2 linked regions of the Caenorhabditis elegans genome follow. The protein of the gene in region 1 interacts with the protein of each later gene in a pairwise test. Each region holds a gene or a part of one and is shown in the gene's direction. Other genes may lie near its edges. The genes, in order: sek-1 and zipt-7.2.

Region 1 (6,993 bases):
TTGAGAAACTTTTAATTTTTCATGAAATATAACTTATTTTATGTTTCAACGTCTCGAATATCTTTCCCCTCTTTTAAATACTTTTACTTTTTTCTCGTTTTGCATATGACTCATCTACTTGCTGGAATGCAAAAAAGTATGATGAACAATTTTTAGGGTGAGGTTAGTAGAATACAAGTACTGCAGACACAATATACAATACCTTTCCACAAATGGAAGATTGTGTCTGTGTGTATGAGATGAAATAGATAGAGAGAGAAAGAGAGAAAGAGAGAGTGGCGAGTGTAGAAAGTAACATTTAACAGAAAACGGCATTGAAAGATAGAGAGAGAGAGATGCAGAGAGGCAAAGTGATAGAGAGATGGAGGAATAGTGGTGTCCTGCGTAACTTTTGTCGTCGTTTCTTATCACTTGTTTACGTGCACAGTGCCCCCCCCCCCCCCCCCCCCCCGATGATCAACATTTTTTTGTGAACAGACAACAACATTTTGAAAGGTGATTTCAACGAATTATCTTGTTGAGAGCAAACGGGTCTGAAGCATATTCGTGGCTTAGCAATCTTATCAATTAATTGGTTTTCTTCCAAAAAATTGAGTAAATTGTATAGTTCTATAAGGTTTTTGTAACTGAACACTATAACTTAAAAGAATAACTAAAAATGTACATGCGTCCCGAAATACTTACAAAAATATTTGCGAACCCACACCGTCTAAATGATTCAACAAAAAAAGTTTCGCAATATTATACTATCAGGCAATTTTTGTAAAATCTGACCATTACACATACGGGATTTCCTGAAATGTGTGGTCTTGCGAATTTCGCAACTTTTCATGACAAAAATGTGTTTGGTCACAAAAACGGTTTCTCGACACTTTTTCCGAAAAAAACGTTTGCACTTTTTCACTATTTTTAAATCTATGTTCTGCTTAATTTCATTTCCACTTTTCTCTTAAAACATTTGACAAAAACTATAAGTTCTGACTCCCAATACTTTTTTCGTCGTATTTCCCTTCCGTTAACTCACTCACTGCTCTAGTTCTCAATAACAATAAATCAAGCGCTCAGTTTTTTTCGAGTTTTTATGGGCCCTTTTTGGGGGAAATGAAGGATAAAACGATAAAAACTGCAAAAGTATACTAAAAATAGTAAATTGAAGTTTAAAAAATTTAATATTCCGAAAATTGAAAAAAAAAACCCCATGTTATATGAGTTACTTGCCGCCCACCCACGGAAATTATTTATTTCTGCGTTAGTCATGCAACTAGTAAGAAGATCCCGCGGAACCATGAGTTTTTCTTTGTGATATTTCCAAATTCAGTATCTCCAATTAAATGATTCACACTTCGTTTTCTCCCTGCTTTATAAATGACTCAGCTATTCATGGCAGCTCCATCTTGCTCCTCCTCCCCAGCTTCCATGTTGCACTTGTTCACATCACATCCCATAAAAATTCATGCACCCGCTCCAAGGTTACTATTGGTTCCCAGTGACAACACCAACAAAAACGGATTTCGGTTCTCGTTTTGGTCTGGCACCTTGATTTCAATTTGAATTTTTACGACAACACATCCCGGGCAACGGTTTTTCGCTTTGTTTTCACATTAATTTTTTCTCACTGGGATGAAAATGGGGGCCCCTCTTTTTTCCCTTTTTCTATTTTTCTGCTTCCTACTCACCAAATTGCTTCTGCTCTCTTCTCATTCTTCTATCTTTTCCTCACTTTTTTCCTATTCCTATTTTTCTTATTTCTTCTATTTTTCAACGATCTATTCCGCGTTTTTCTACAGAATTTCGTACTCTCATTCATCAAATCTGAGAACCCTCCGCCAGGAGAAAAAAAGAAGGAAAAAACGTGATTCCCAAATCTTTAATTAAAGGACCAGATTGATGGATAAGTAACGAAAGACCAACACTATCTATTTTACATTTAGATTCGAAAAAAGATTGAATGACACCTCTAAATTTTGTTCACAAAACCGCGAAACCACCATTTGTATTCTTTATTGTCATTTTTCCTCATTTTTCGCTTTGTGAAAAATTTACCCACCGTATTTTTTGCTGAAATCCGTGTCTCTTGCTCTTTCCTTATCCTCATTTAATTTTTGCAGACGATCGCTGGTCGGCGAATTCTACAATTTATGTAGATCGGTGCGGAACGTCTCTCTAGAGTCTTACATCATGGAGCGAAAAGGTAAGAAAAATCTCATTTACCTCAAATTTGCCAAAGCATCTAATTTCGACTTGTTGTAGGACGTGAGCGCAAGCTGCCGGGCATGAAGATCGTGATGCCAACACCGGTCGAGACGCCCACAATGAATCTGGAAGACAGATGTCTTATCAAGTAAGTATTAGGTGATACCCGTGTCGGGTTTGATATTGAACACGTAAAGACGGCGCGGCGAATTATGTAATAATAATATAAGTATGAGAAATTTTTGATTGATGCAGATTGACAAACGAGTCCGAAGAGATTGAGATTGCCGCCACCGACCTCGTCGTACTCGAAGAACTTGGAAAAGGTGGATATGGGATTGTGGAGAAAATGCAGCACAGGCAGAGCGGGATAATTATGGCGGTAAAAGTGAGTATCACAACAAGAACAGTTTGAAAAAATTAACTATGTACATATGTTTGGTAATTCACCAAAAGCGGTTTTTTCAAAAAAATGTTTCATTTTTTCGTAACTTTTCAAAAAGTAACTAAATTCAAATTCCTATTTGGCTGGTGCACTAATAAATAGGCAATTTGTATAAATTTAAGATATTCATAAAATACTTTTCTTTAATTAGGGAAAAACTATTCTAATTTGAATGCAACGTGTCATTTTTCACATACAATAGTTATTCAAAAGCAAATGCAAGTTAGCAAGATGAAGATTATTGAATTTAGGTGTGACTGCAAAAATAATAGTTAGTCTTCATTGCCAACGGAAAGCATTTCCATTTTTTGAAGGGCGCCGTGTGAGACGACACACTGATTGCCTTTTGGCTGTCGGCACACGCGCCCACACGTCACCTTTGAAAAGTTGGTGTATAAATTAAAATTTTCGTGAACAAAGGTAAATTATGGAAGTGAAGAAATGAGAATTTGAGGATAGGATTTCAAACGCAGGTCACTCGTTTCTGATATGATGAAAAAAATCTTTTTTTTTTTGAAAAGGAACATGAGAAATAGATTCAAAGTAGCTTGATATCAAACATTTATGGAATGTATTGAGATTTATCAATACTTACTGATTTCAAAAATTCATTTTCATCCATACACTAGAATAAGTGACTAGGTGATTGTACATCAATATGTATGTTAATAGGACATACCAACAATAAGAACAGTCTGTGACGCGGAAATTTTCCATAAAAAAGGTCACTTCATAGATTTCATATGTTGAACTTTCACTAGAACATATTGCAAATACTTCATATGTAGTTGTGGCAAAGTTCAAGATTAAAGTAAATACAACATGTAAATGGAAAACTGATCTGACCAAAAAATGTTTTCAAATCACGAATATTTAAATTCTCAATATAAAAATTAATCGAAACTACAGATTTAAATACTAAAAAAAAATTATAAATTAAATATTACTGGTTTGAACCGAGACTTAAGCAAATCGCGTATTGAAAAAAATAAAAAATGAATTTTCAAACTAAATCGAATTTATCTTTTAAATTGATCCTAAGCAAATTTCATTTTCTTACAGCGAATCAAATCATCAATCAACGATCAATCTCAAAAGCAGATGCTCAACGAGCTAGACGCGTGCAGGAGAAGTGATTGCTGTCCGCAAATGGTACGGTTCTATGGAGCAATGTTTCGCGAAGGTGATGTCTGGATTTGCATGGAAGTGATGGACACGTCGCTGGACAAATTTTACCGGCACGCATACAAAATTGGCAAACACATTCCAGAGCCGTTTATTGGGAAAATGGCTCTGTCGGTCATTGAAGGACTCAACTTTATGAAAGAGCAACTGAATTTGATTCATCGAGACGTGAAACCGTCGAACATTCTGTTAAATCGACATGGACAAGTCAAGATTTGCGATTTTGGAATTTCAGGTCACTTGACAAACAGCATGGCCAAGGTACGGAAAATCGATAAAAATGAGACCTCTATTAAAAAAATGAAATGCAATTTTATTTGCCGAATGATGTCATGCCAATCAGAGTTATCTTTCAATTTCATCATGACCGGGAAGAAAAATTTCAAAATATATATAGTGTTTCGATTTACAGACTGTACAAGCCGGATGCAAACCTTACATGCCACCAGAGAGAATTGATGGAGAGACTAAGTCAGCCTATGATGTGAGAGCTGATGTATGGAGTTTGGGTATAACAATAATTGAAATCGCCGTTGGCACCCATCCCTACGCAAATTGGAAAACCCCATTTGAACAATTGAAACAGGTTGTGAAAGAGCCGCCACCAAAATTGCCGATGGAAAGTGGTTTTAGTGTTGATTGTCAGTACTTTGTCAAGAGATGGTGAGTTTTTTGGAGTTTCTGGGTGTGGAGTTGGGAAGAGTATGAAAATTTGCAAATTGCAGTCTTGAAAAGGATTACAATGAACGTCCCAAATATCCGGAATTATTGGCGATGCCGTTTATGGAGCAGGCAAGAAATGAGAAGCAATTTAGTATGGCTCGGTTTATCAATGAGGTAAGATTTGCTGCTATCAAAAAGACAATTTTTTTGCTGAAAAATTGAGAAAAACAATCTGTAAATAAATGGGTAAAATTAAATTAAATGTTTATTAATTTCTCCATTTAAATGAAACGTGAAATTGATTTTTAATTTTTAGGCTTAAAAATTGTTGTCTAAGTATAATTGTCCTCCTAAGCCTTAAAATACAAAAGAGTTTTATTTTCTATGTCTAAAAATTCAAGTTTAGCGTTAAAATTTTTGGACGATAGCTTTTAGTGAAAATCGGTATTTTGTTACAAAACACTTTATTGTAGAAACTAAACACTTTAAAATAAATTGAAAATTGGTGAATGATGTCAATTTTGTGAAGTGTGCTTAAATTGCTTTAAGAAATAACAAAAATGCAAAATAAGTGCAATAAAAAAACAATCAAAAAGTCAGGTTATTTCTGAGAAATTTCGAAGAGTAAAAAATGTTGTCAAAAAATCAGTTCGGTACATCAGCAAAGAAAAGTATAGATCAACTTCAAAACATCACCAAAACTTAGCATGTACAGTTTGTTTCCAGCAGGACCAACTTACAGTAAAAGCACCACTGAATGTTATTTTTTATAATTTTTTGTATTTTAATCTGAAAATCGTTTTATATCTGACAATCTTGAATCTTACTAAGGTCCGATGGGCACCTTCTGACGGTTCCCTAGTTAGGTAAAAACTATGCTAGATTTGCGAAAAATTGCAAAAACTTCTGAATTCATTCATTGCAGATTCTCGACACTGTTTGGCGACGATGAGCATCGGGTGTGCCGAATGGCGAACAAGTCTTTTTCTAGTACGACACGTCTCAAATTGAGAATAGCGTTTTTTTGTACGCCTCGCTGGCCGTCAATGGAACATCGATATTTGTTGAATAATCAGCAACGTGGACGGAATAAATTATCACTTCTTTTCCCTTTTTGTCAAATATTGAATTTTATGTTCTTATGTTTTGTTTATATCATATATCTCTCAGATTCCAATTATTTCTTTGCTTCTGGTAACCGTTTCTTTCCGAGTCAACCGCTTATCCTTATTTCATTTTCAATTTTATAGGAAATCTTTCTCTATCGCTTCTTTTTTCGTGTCTTCTCCTCGTAGTTATAATCAATCATCGGTGTTTTTCTACATTTTTTTTACGTTTAAATGTTCAAGTAGTTTATTAGCATCTGTGATTTTTATTTTCAAATGGTAGCTCATAATTTTCCAATCAAACTCGAAATGACCTAGTTGTTTTCTTAAATGATTTTAGTAGTCATTCCTATCTCATCTCATCAGACTTCTCATTTCAATTGTTTAACTTCTTCCTCTGCATATACAGTGCCATTTTCGATGTCAAATTCGTATTCAACATGGATTATTCTACTCTAGAAATCAAAAATGTATTCTATTGCACCCCTCCTCCCGCATTTGTTTCATCTGTGGGTTAATAATGATATTTATAAATTGATGTGCTGTTACAAAAACGAAAACAATCAACATCACTTATCCTTCTTTCTATTTTTCTTCTTCTCTGGTCTTATGCGCTTATTCTCCTTATAACAGTTCTTGCCCAGAAAATCAGCGTACACGTTTCATTTTCTTTTCTGTTCGTTTTCTCCCCTAACTCAGACATTACAAATTTCTAAACGTTTTGTTTTCAATTACACCAACCATCCCCCACTTTTCTCCCTCACCCCATATCAAGGATATGAGTCTCTTTTGGTTTATATTGCTCGAGTAAAGATTTTTTTTTAATTCAGATAACGGTTAAATATCGTGAATTGATGTTGCAATGTCTTCCTGTTTCAGAGCTATGTAAAAACTGACGCCAGTGATAAAATAATGTGGCAACCAGAGGAAGGAAAAATATAAGAATGTGAAAAAGCAAGTTTAGTTCAAATTTTTCAATAGTAAATCACACTACGACTTGATTGGGATAGTTGGTTTTGGTTGCTTTTCAAGATATTTATAAAAACGTTTTTTAAATTTTCCAATATATAAATAGAGAACGAGTGAATATCATTTTCCTTGTTTGAATTGCCATAATTGATAAATTGAAAATATCTGGAAAATAATATAAACAAAAAAGACCAAGAAATATAAATGTTTTGTTTCATTAAGGCACATCATGTACGGACTTCTATTTTACTATTATTTCTATCGTTTTCACCGGAGTTTGCTAAAGTTGCAAAATTCTTAAAAACAACTGATGCTTGTTTCAGAATTGCAACCGACACAACCGACAGCAAAGTTGCCAAAGCTTTCCCAATCATCAAGCATACATTTTTGTTGAACATAAACCTTGGAGTGTTTTCGTGAAACTTTGTTAGA
Region 2 (4,366 bases), 7.7 Mb from region 1:
TCACTTTTGACATGTGTTCAAATATAGGTATATGGTGGGGTTTCCGAAACGGGTAGTATCACGATTTGAATTTCAAAACCTTCAAACGCATCAGTTTTTTTTTCAAAAGTCTCAACGGTTTCCGGCAGAAGTCCGGAGAAAGATTATGTGGGATTTGGGACAGTGTTCTCAATCCCGGACACAAGTGGCAATTAGACACCGGGGGATTTGAGGCTAGCTTGAGTTGAACTGTTTTGCTACTAATCCCTGTCTGACAGAGGGCCTGGAAAAGAATTTAAAAAAAAAGAGAAAGTTACTATAGTTTGGTGTGAAACTATGCAGTTAAAAATTAACGGCAACAAATATATGTAGCTAACTATAAAGAATAACTACGTAATTTGGAACATGTAAACCTTTATACAAGTTTTTATTTCTTGAAAAAATACAATAATAAAAATATAATACATGCATTCCTTAAATTATTTTCCTGCCAAAAAAAAACCTTTTTTATTATAATTTTGTTGAACTTTCTTCTTGACGGAAAATTGAAAAGTGTGAAAAAATTCCGTTACAACTGTATTAAAATAAATTTGAAAAAATATGTGTTTTAATACAGTTGTGACGTCATAAATGTATTTAAATACATTTTGCAACATTACTTAAATTACCCTATAAACTTCTAAAACATAATCAGAATTTAGAACTTATCAAACTTTGACCCTACGATTTCTTTGATATAAAAACTATTTTATGAAAATCCAAGGCGCCACCATGAGGAATCTATATCAAATTTTTCATTGAAAAGCATGTTAATGAGTCTTTCAGGTTTTTGAGAGCCAATTAACGATACCATTTTTTGATTTTTAGGGATAAGCAAAAATTGAACCATTTATTGTATTTCAAAACATTACCACAAAAGAAACAACTATGTAGAAGTTGAAGTTTTATTTTTGGTTTGAATAAAATGTACAAAATTATCAAACAAAATTTGTTTAGAGAGCCAAAAAAACTACATTTTCCTCTAATTCCCGCACAAACGATGACTAAGCAGTGACTTTCAATTCTGAATGAATCACAGTAGTGACTGCTAAATGAGCAGCAGACAACTAACAAAAAAAAAAGTTCAGTAAAATGTTGAAGTAGGGTGGACAGTCAGTCGCGGTATTCAAGATGTAACAAGCGGATGAAGTGAAAGAAACTAGTTCCTATGTGTGGATAGCCTCGATTCCGTTGAAAAAAAAACGTGAGCGGAATGGATGGGTAGGCAAGGGCAATTTTGTGTTTTTCTCATCCCTTTCACCTTTTTTTCTAGTTTTTTTTTCATGGACTGTTTACCTGAAAGTTTGGCTTAAAGGTTGAAACTTGAAAAAAAACTAAACTACAGTACTCCTTTTACAGATAGAAAAACATCTTATAAAGAAACAACATTCTCCTGGAGAAAGTTTTTTACGAGCCTTGCGTGCGTGAATGTTTGAAGAGCACCATCATGCTCATAATAAACCTATCGGCAAATACACCGGGACCATCTGTCAATGCGAGAACACCGCACCCCATTTTCCTATCTCACTGTGTATCGCTATTTGAATTTGCTCTGTCAGTGGAGGGGACGGTAGCAAGCGCGCTCTATTGCACAAAGACAAACCTCCCTCTCTCCTGTGCCGCGTTGGCCGCAATTTTGTGGGATATGCCATTTTTGTCATTTTTATCCGATTGATCCATGTACTCGGACAGATTTCTTCGATTTTTCAGCCATCTTTGCAAAAAATGTCTTTATTACTTGAAAATATAACCATAAAACAGAATAAATATTCATTATACCCCACGTCACTTTATTGCCTACCTCTCCTCTCCTGTCTACCTGTCTATTTATCGATTAATTTTCTCCATCTTATTTTTGAAATTTTCAGGGTAATTTCGGCGAAAATGTTGGTGAAATCGTGCATTTTCCTGTCATTCCTGGCTATTGCCGCTTATGGCCAGGCACATTTGAAATACACCAAGGAGATGAACGATCCGGAGTATGTTCAACAGAATGTGCATCATCAGGGGCACGGACACGCTCACGGAGGACATGGACATGCTCATGATGCCGACGGAGGGTGCCCGTATGCTAAAGGTTTGTGATTTTGGATTTTGAAAACACTTCGAAAATGTTGAGGATGATAAACGTTCTGAACGGTTAACAGATTGTTACTTCGGAGCCATAAGTCTCATTTTTCAGCCGCCGCCGCTGAAGCTGCTACCGCTGCTGCTCACGACCACGGACATGCTCACGATCATGACCATGGACACGCTCATGATCACGGACATGCACATGATCATCATGGACACTCCCAGTAAGAATTTCTCAATAAAAAGTTAATTACTGCAACTTATCAATTTTTAGTGACGAGGAGGAAGATCATCATCACGGACATGCTCACGATCATCACGGACACTCCCATGAGGATCACGGACACAGCCAGTAAGCACTCTCACTTCTACTTCCGAGATTAATCTGTCATTTTCAGTGGAGCTGAAAGTGCTAAGCAAGTTGGCGATGAGTACCAGTACACTGGATTCCTTTCTTTCCTTAATGATGCCAAGACAAGGCTTTGGGTTTATGCCATCTCGGCTACACTTCTCATCTCTGCTGCTCCATGCTTCATCCTTATGTTCATCCCAATCCAGGCTAACACCTCGGAGTCGGGACCACTTCTGAAGGTTCTCCTCGCTTTTGGTTCCGGAGGTCTTCTCGGAGATGCGTTCCTTCATTTGATTCCACACGCCACTCCGGCTGGAGACGGTCACGGGCACTCGCATTCTCATGGACATTCTCATGGTGGTGGTGGGCATTCTCATGGAGCTCATGACATGAGCGTCGGGGGATGGGTTCTTGGAGGTTTGTTTTGACAAAAAAAAAATATATATATATATATACACATTAAAAAATGGTTTAAGTAATTAATTTCAGGAATCATCGCCTTCTTGACCGTTGAGAAACTCGTGCGCATTTTGAGAGGAGAAGACGGCCATGGTCACTCACATGGACATTCCCATGGAGGGGAGAAGAAGGAAACCAAGGAAAAGGATTCGAAGGACAAAGTTGCCAAGAAGGAGGAGAAACCAGAAAAAGACGAGCAATCAATCAAGGTTACCGCCTACCTCAACCTCGCTGCTGATTTCACCCACAACTTCACTGACGGACTTGCCATCGGAGCGTCCTTCATTGCGGGAACCACCGTCGGAATCGTTACTATGATCACAGTTCTTGTCCATGAGGTTCCTCACGAGATTGGAGATTTCGCCATTCTGATTCAATCTGGATACTCTAAGAAGAAGGCCATGCTCATCCAACTTGTAACTGCTCTCGGAGCACTTTCCGGATGTGTCATCTCCTTGTTCTCTGCTGACGCCGATGCTCTCGCCGACGCTGCGGCTAGCTCCTGGGTTCTTCCATTCACAGCCGGAGGATTCATCTACATTGCTACGGTTTCCGTGATTCCTGAGCTTCTCGAGAACAGCTCATTCTTCCAGACAGTTAAGGAAATCTTCGCTATTCTTACCGGAATCTTCCTTATGTATCTCATTGCTATTTATGAGTAAATTTTTGTCGAAGCTAGTCTCATCATCACAAACGCGATACTTGTTAAATGTTACCTTTTGTAAAATGTATTTTATATATTTAAGTATTTATTAAATCACCCTCTCCTTCTTGATGTTCTCTCGATTTTTTTGGCTGGTTGTTTCAATAAAGGTGTTGGATGCACAGAAATGTGTGTAGTGTCATGCTCAAAATAAAATCTGGCTATAGAGGTTACAAAAAGTATGGTTGCAATGATGTTACATAAATTGTGCCCACATGAAATTATGCAAGATAATTGGTAATGGGGTTGCTCATGTGATGACGGAAAATGCATAAATATATTTTGTTCACTTTTCCCCTATTCATGTGTGTAGAAGAATGTAAAAATACGCATGCATGTTTTGCATTTTTCAACATTTTTCGGCATTTTTGTACATTTTTCTACATCAGCCGACAGCCCACTTCACATGCTGAAGGCGAGAAACGCAGTGAGATGTGCCCCCGCAATGTCGAAAAATGCCGAAAAATGCAGAAACTGCATGCGTTTTTTTTACATTTTACTACACACATGGCTAGGGGAAAAAAAAATGTAAAAATACATTTTTGCAATTTTCGTAATAACATAAATAACCCCATAAATGTCTTTTTTATAACTAGAATTCTAGAATTTCCTTAAAGCCACAAAGATATTCCTCTGAAATTTTATTTTTATCTGACTGTGACTTATCTTGTTTCTATTATGTGCATTTTTTGTCGTTAGCTTTGTCGGCTCCAAATTAAATTTCATAAATTATCAATAAATTATCATTGCACAAATATGTA

What was found.
Region 2: the proteins of sek-1 (region 1) and zipt-7.2 interact in a two-hybrid assay, tested with the Caenorhabditis elegans proteins (one large-scale study listed by BioGRID).

The regions. Positions count from the first base shown.
Region 1 is NC_003284.9:7,814,626-7,821,618, forward strand, and holds sek-1 (Dual specificity mitogen-activated protein kinase kinase sek-1), read left to right. Parts: upstream 1-2,108; 5' UTR 2,109-2,178; coding exon 2,179-2,191; intron 2,192-2,250; coding exon 2,251-2,341; intron 2,342-2,448; coding exon 2,449-2,581; intron 2,582-3,700; coding exon 3,701-4,084; intron 4,085-4,235; coding exon 4,236-4,486; intron 4,487-4,548; coding exon 4,549-4,660; intron 4,661-5,411; coding exon 5,412-5,438; 3' UTR 5,439-6,411; downstream 6,412-6,993. UniProt on the Caenorhabditis elegans protein: Dual specificity protein kinase which acts as an essential component of the p38 signal transduction pathway which is also composed of upstream effector nsy-1 and downstream effector pmk-1. May phosphorylate pmk-1.
Region 2 is NC_003284.9:15,505,401-15,509,766, reverse strand, and holds zipt-7.2 (Zinc transporter zipt-7.2), read left to right. Parts: upstream 1-1,886; 5' UTR 1,887-1,902; coding exon 1,903-2,095; intron 2,096-2,200; coding exon 2,201-2,315; intron 2,316-2,365; coding exon 2,366-2,443; intron 2,444-2,489; coding exon 2,490-2,860; intron 2,861-2,932; coding exon 2,933-3,564; 3' UTR 3,565-3,730; downstream 3,731-4,366. UniProt on the Caenorhabditis elegans protein: Zinc transporter.